Linked DNA regions of Daphnia pulex. The protein of the gene in region 2 interacts with the protein of the main gene of each other region in a pairwise test. Links are inferred from orthologs where the notes say so. Each region holds a gene or a part of one and is shown on either strand. Other genes may lie near its edges. The genes, in order: RWD domain-containing protein 1-like and developmentally-regulated GTP-binding protein 2-like.

Evidence for each region.
Region 1: the proteins of developmentally-regulated GTP-binding protein 2-like (region 2) and RWD domain-containing protein 1-like interact in binary tests that used the Homo sapiens proteins (3 or more experiments, as listed by UniProt). The link is inferred for Daphnia pulex from reciprocal best matches to the Homo sapiens genes DRG2 and RWDD1.

What each region holds. Positions count from the first base shown.
Region 1 is NC_060022.1:4,905,888-4,909,068, forward strand, and holds RWD domain-containing protein 1-like, read right to left. Parts: upstream 1,487-3,181; 5' UTR 1,409-1,486; coding exon 1,327-1,408; intron 1,262-1,326; coding exon 1,030-1,261; intron 961-1,029; coding exon 567-960; 3' UTR 548-566; downstream 1-547. Other genes in the region: 40S ribosomal protein S5, read left to right, coding at 1-59; COX assembly mitochondrial protein homolog, read left to right, coding at 1,907-1,955, 2,027-2,352; uncharacterized protein LOC124196018, read right to left, coding at 2,644-2,876, 2,983-3,132. UniProt on the Homo sapiens protein: Protects DRG2 from proteolytic degradation.
Region 2 is NC_060026.1:4,078,068-4,081,825, forward strand, and holds developmentally-regulated GTP-binding protein 2-like, read left to right. Parts: upstream 1-1,418; 5' UTR 1,419-1,520; coding exon 1,521-1,584; intron 1,585-1,654; coding exon 1,655-1,815; intron 1,816-1,874; coding exon 1,875-2,045; intron 2,046-2,111; coding exon 2,112-2,255; intron 2,256-2,320; coding exon 2,321-2,428; intron 2,429-2,490; coding exon 2,491-2,850; intron 2,851-2,910; coding exon 2,911-2,973; intron 2,974-3,038; coding exon 3,039-3,062; 3' UTR 3,063-3,173; downstream 3,174-3,758. Other genes in the region: copper-metallothionein-like, read left to right, coding at 390-474, 616-714, 785-858. UniProt on the Homo sapiens protein: Catalyzes the conversion of GTP to GDP through hydrolysis of the gamma-phosphate bond in GTP. When hydroxylated at C-3 of 'Lys-21' by JMJD7, may bind to RNA and play a role in translation.

The DNA.
Region 1 (3,181 bases), on a different chromosome or scaffold from region 2:
ATTCCTACGCTATCAAGAAAAAGGACGAGTTGGAGCGAGTTGCCAAATCTAACCGTTAACAACAGATTCTGGTACGGTCAGTACCATCGACCCTCCAGAGGTGGTTTTGTGTCGATCAGTACAATACACAGAATTGCCCAATTAAAATTTTGTTCTGTTTTTCTTTGAAATTACATTGCTGGTTATTTATTGAATGTTGATTAAATGAATCAAGCATGCTATTATAATGCTTTGTTCGTAGTCTTATTGTGAAGGACTGACATTGCCTTTTGTTTAATCGATCACTTACATTTAATTACGTAGTAAGTCACATTTTTTTCATGATTCGAGTATCAACGTGAAGATTGGTTAAGGTGAGGTCTTATGTGATTTCTGTGTTGGTCTACTTTCTCTAAATGACTGCCTAGGTGAAATTTCAGGGTCGTTAAAATTCGGTCCAAACGTATTTACGCGTCCCAAGTAAATACTCGCTTTGTCTTTGACCTTATGTTGTCTAAGTTGAAATTTGGTTTAAGAATGTAGAACAGAACAGACAAATAAAGATAAATAATAGCCAGTATTTTATTTTAATCACTTCCATCTGACACAAGTTCATCATCTAAACCTAAATCTTCCAAATCCTGGAACAAGGATTCATCAACATTGACAACTTCTCCACCCTCTTCCAAGAATTTCAAATCAGATTCAATCAGTGATTTGTCAACCATGAACAACTCTCTACCAGAGAGCTTCTTATCCTTGTCTTCCTTCTCTGGTTTCTTCAGTGCAGCAATCTCAGCATCAAACTCAGCCTTCCACCGTAGAAAATTCTCCACAGTAACAGCAGTACCATGACACTTTTTATTCTCTGCTTCTTCAGCTTCAAGTATTTTACGTTCTGCTTCCTCATCCCGACGCCTAAGCTCAGCATCCCATTCATTATTAAGCCACTCATTGGCAGTGGAGACTAAAGAGAATATCCTAGATTTTACAAATCATTAATAAAATAAGTGATAACTTGATGGAAAACTTTAACTGTTAAATTCTTACATCACCATTCCTAGATTATCTTCAGCTTCTTTTTCAAGACGGTCTTTCAGTCTTTCCAACTGCTCATCATCCAAACCTACATCATCCATGATTTCAATCATTGGAATTTCTTCTGGGTAAGTTGGTGTGTAGGTAAATTTAAGGTCACATGCATAACCGATCCCTTCTTCTTCATCGTGTCCTTCGGATTTCACTTGCAGTTTAAATTGATGGAATGGCTCCTCTTCCAGAACTGAAAAAGTAGAGAAATTAATTTGTTGGCACAATGCTTTCTTGTATTTAAATTACAGTACTTACTTTCCAGTTCATCGGGATAAATTGATTCGAGAGAGAATATCTCGCCCAATTGTTCCTCTTTGTATTGTGAATTTTGTGACATTATTAAATAGGAGAAAACAGTTAATGACGTACTGTTAAATTCTCACATGTCAACATGTGAGAGAGCAGACGACACATTTCCAATATTCGGCTTGCCCAGTAACTATCGACATCTATGAGATATTGAAGAGACAGCAAGAAAAGAAAACTTCTTTACGAAATGAAAAAAAATCGTCATGTCTGGGTTAAAAGTCATCGAGTTTTTCATCAGTTTTTCTCATTAAAAATTTAAAAAAAATAAATAAATCGATTATTTAGGAAGTTTGCTGAAACAAGATTGTGACTAACAAGTAACATGGCTCCATCTACATCTAGAACCAAGGTACTACACATACACAACTCATAATTGGTGGTGAAGCCAGCAGGCCTTGACTTCTTTTTTTATTTCTCTTATGTTATGTTTTCGAAGTTAACTTCTCTTCCAGTCTTCCACTAAACGGTGTTATCGGGTTGTGATATCATTGACATATAGGTCATCGACTTTGAATTAAATGCGATTATGTCGAAACAGGAGGAAACGCACAACGCAAAAGGCCCTCATGGGCTCGGTATTATATAATTATATCATTCCATGTTTAACCGGCTCCGTTAATGTATATTCACTTGGTAATACCTACAGGCGATCCAGATGACAGGACTTTGAGGATTGTCGAAAAAGAAGTTCTTATTCCAAAGATTATGAGAGACAGAGCCAAAATGGAAAAATGTGTGCCTGAAGTTGAAGAATTTACAAAATGTTGTTCATCCAGCAATGTGCTGATGGCATATTCATGCCGGAAACAAAATGCAGCCATGCAAGACTGTCAGACGAGATGGTATAAAGATGAAGTCTTCAAAGAAGAATGCAAGGAAATTTACCTTAAAGAAAGGAGAGAATTCAGACTAACAGGAATTCCCAAGAAACATCGTCACAAGGAAACTGAAAATGCAACTAATAGTACCTAGTCAAATATTGCATGGAGTTGGTGTAAGTTTTTCTTTTCTTTATAAATCACGAAGAATTTAAAATAAACAATGAAGATGTAGAATAAATTGTATTGATAACTCTGATGATACATTTTAACACAATTGATTGACACCAAATTATGAGCCCATTGCTTCACATCTGGGAATGTTATAAACCCACTCTACCACCCTATTATGAACTGGGATTGAAAGAGATTAATTGAAAAGGTAACATAGTGTAGACCAGAAAAAATGATGTTTCATTTTCTCTGGTTCAGCCCATCAATGCATTTACTGGTGGAAATTCTTTGAATTAAAGTTTAATTTCATTCCCTCCAGTGGGCACTTGATGGGATTTTGCAACCAGTCCTGGCTTTCTTTAGTAGCCGGCTGTTGCAATGTTGCAGTTTGAGCTTGACCTGACGAAGTGTTGCTTTTAAAATTGTGAACAGAATAGCGATTGTAAAGTCCCCAAATGGAATTCATCATCTTGTCACAGTACTTTGACGGTGATGGATCTGCATCTGTTGAAATAGATTGAAAAGGTTTGATATGATTAAGTACATGTTGGTAAAATAAAGTTGTATTACTGGACAACAAGAACCAAATCAAATATTTAAAAAATCTTACATTGGTCATTGCTAAACTTGAAGTTTGTATTATTATCTTTCTGACGTTTGCTTCCATTAGTAGTAGCATTTGCAGTGAGGTTCATATTAGCCCTCACTTTCTGCACAGCATGCATCCCAAATGGCATTGATGCCATTGTATGCAGCACAACTGGGGACAGAAAAAAAGGAAAACAAGAAACAAAGATCAAATTTTGTTC
Region 2 (3,758 bases):
CCTATTAAGAGCGGGGTATAGTAGGCGAGTTCTAAAAAGCTTTATGCGACAGTTTCGTGAGCTGGATTATACGTTACTGCTAAATGGTCTAGCGCCAATTATACTCCTACACAGAAAATAATACCGCAGCAATCAGCTCACTTTTATATTGCTTCGAAGAATAAGTCCAACCGAGTGCTCTTTGTCACGAAATGCAAACAAATTCAAATGGTGGCCTACGCGTATTTATTTAGGATAATGAAGTGTGAAAAATTGGGTATCGTCTTGTGCAATTCTGGCTAAAGGGATGACGTCATAAATATCGACGGTAGGACGTTTTTAAAATAAAAGCAACGTTGTCATTAAATATTTTTTTCAAGAGGATCCACTTGTTAACGTCGGATCTGAGGATGTTTTCCAGCTGTATTCGATACCCTTCCGTCAAACTGACAACAACAAGACCAGCCATGCCTAAAGAGTGTGTTCGTTGTCAAAGTAAGTTACATTTAATTGCTATTTAGTGCCTCGATTTTGAATTTCATATTTATTTGTGCACCATCTGTTTCTCGAATGTCTTGAATCAGTGAATGACGTGTTAGATTTTTACCTTACAAACTGTTCGTACTTTCTGTCTAGATGGGTGCACATGCGGGGACGACTGCAAGTATGCAGCCAACTGTATCAAATGTCCCACAGCTTCGTCACAAGGAGAGACTTGCAAATGCTCGACTCCAGGTAATGTTCGTATTGAAAGCTTTAATCGCCGACAAAAAAATTAATAGCTTTTTCACAATTGGTTGTATAGGGGGTTGCACATGCGGTACCAATTGCCAGTGTGGAGCGAGTTGCGTTTGCAAAGCTTCGTCCTGCTGTAAATGAATATCGTTGACGTGACGTCTGAAGAATTAATCCAACATATTCTGAAATCATTTCTGGAAACTTTCATTACTATTTCCCTTTATCGTCTAGATTATATATCCAAATTCACAAAACGATATTAAAATACATTTCGTCGATCTATAATTCTTCGTAAGAAGTATTTGCTTTTTTTGTTATTACCTGATTTCCATACCCCCCTTTCGGTTGGCCATTTTCAGGCTGTTACTACACAGTGGAATAGGCAAGTTATAAAAGCTTTATGTGGTAGTATCATGGGATTGCACTAAGTGATCGAGCGACAGTACTTTTGCAACAGGAAAACCTAGCAAATGATAACGCATCAATCGAGAGTATCAGGCGCTGGTCTAGTGGTCTGGTATCTGTATAATTACCGAGGATAATAATAGCAGTTGAGAGCTCAAATGTAAAAAAAGTTCAGTGGGTTGTTAACGCGTATTTATTCAAGGATATAACGAGACATTTTTTTTTAAAATTATCATTTGTATTGTTTGTATTTGATTTTTGTTTACCGCCATTGCGTATCTTCCGAATGGCAACGTTGCTTTTGACTGCCATGCTGAAGGCCTAAAGTTGGTCTGCTGTCACTTTGATAATTCCAGTTTTTGTGTTTTGTTTTCGACGACCATTTCCCCTGAACGAAAATGGGAATTCTGGAAAAGATTTCCGAGATTGAAAAGGAGATTGCCCGTACTCAGAAAAACAAAGGTTTGCGTCCATTATTGCTTCTTTCTTATGCGGATGTAATGTATAACAATACTTTTTGTGCACCGTGCAGCTACCGAATATCACTTGGGGCTGCTGAAAGCGAAACTTGCAAAGTACCGTTCGCAACTATTGGAACCCTCCAAGAAAGCTGGAGAGAAAGGAGAAGGCTTTGATGTACTTAAATCCGGAGATGCCAGGGTGGCATTAATTGGATTCCCATCTGTCGGCAAGGTGTGTTAAGGTTTAAAATTGTTTAAAATTTTATTTAACACAATCCCTTTCTTTCCTAGTCCACCCTTCTTTCAACTCTAACCAAGACCCAAAGTGAAGCTGCATCATATGAGTTTACAACACTGACATGTATTCCTGGAGTCATCGAGTATAAAGGTGCCAATATCCAATTATTGGATCTCCCTGGAATCATTGAAGGGGCTTCCCAAGGAAAAGGCAGAGGAAAACAGGCATGTCATGAGTTTCTGGAATGCAAAATTATAATCTTTGAATGAGTTTTCTTTATTGTGGTTTAGGTTATTGCTGTTGCAAGGACAGCTGACTTGGTTTTGATGATGCTTGATGCTACCAAGGGAGATGTACAGAAAACCTTGTTGCAGAAAGAGTTGGAGAGCGTAGGAATCAGGTTGAACACCAAAAAACCAAACATTTACTTCAAGGTAAACTTGACAAATACATAGAGCAAATGATTTTTTCTTTACTGAAAAATACCTTACATTGATAGCACAAAAAAGGTGGTGGTATTGCCTTCAATGCTGTTTGTCCATTAACCAAAGTGGATGAGAAACTGGTTCAGCTAATTCTTCATGAATACAAAATTTTCAATGCTGAGGTACTAGTTCACATTTCCTAAATCGGAAAACCTGACGTTGTAACGTGTTTGTCTTTTCGTAGGTTTTGTTCCGCGAAGACTGCTCTGCCGACGATCTGATTGATGTCATATCTGATAACCGGATCTATTTGTCGTGCCTTTACGTTTACAACAAGATCGATCAAATTTCGCTGGAAGAAGTTAATAGGATTGCACGACAGCCTCATTCTCTAGTGGTTTCCTGTAACATGAAGCTGAACCTCGATTACTTACTGGAGACTCTCTGGGAGTACTTGTCCTTTATTCGAGTTTACACCAAGAAACCTGGTCAGCCCCCCGATTTCAACGACTGCTTGATTTTGCGACGAGGCGTTTCTGTCGAACATGTTTGTCACTCGATCCATCGCACGTTGGCCCAAGTCTTGAAATACGCGCTTGTTTGGGTAAATTAATTCACTTTACCTTATGAATGATGCAAATTAATGATCTTGTTCCTTTTATAGGGTACGAGCGCTAAATTTAATCCGCAACGAGTTGGTTCACATCATATAGTGCATGATGAAGATGTACGTTCAACACCATTAGAAAGTTGTTGTATTTTTAGCTAATTGGTTTTCTTTTCTCCTTCTAGGTAATTCAAATTGTGAAGAAATGAAAATTCTTCTTGAGCTTTCTGAAGAGGTTCAAATGCCGAAGAACGAATAGGGGAAAAGCTTTTTGTTATGGTTGGCTTGAGAATTCAAATAAAACACATAAACACCTCTCACATATTAGATCCGACTAATCCGTCGAAATTACCGCCAGAAGGAGTTTTGTGTGAATTCTTGATGAGCTTTAAACATGACTTTGAAATTAGCTTAAGTAGTGCCGGCGAACGGGCAACGTTGGAATATTTCGATTAAAATCATTGGGGGAAAAAATATTGCAAGAAAATAATGCAAACAAATTATTTGCCTTTTGATGAAAAATGGACAGTCATTCCCAGGGTCACACAGAAAGAAAGGTTTTTTAGTCCAAACCCAAGAAATTTGGCCTTGCTGTCCTTGGGTAATTTGACATGGCCTTCGTCTGCTACGATTACTGTTAGGAAGGAGGTAGGACGTCAAAGTTGTAGCTGCACTTCGACTCCTTTCTTTGATCCTTTTGTGATCTAGCTAGGCCAGTTAAAACAATAAGGGAAATCGAAAATATTTTAACCCTCCTTCTCAGTTCCAAGTGCTCTTTTTTTAAGCAGAGAAGCCATTTGAATGTGATGCTTCTTTGTGTTAACTTCTAGACTAGCTCCAATGTTCCCATTGTCTCAGAACCCATCTAATTCCAGTTCCAGTCGTGGAAATGGCCGAAGTTCGTC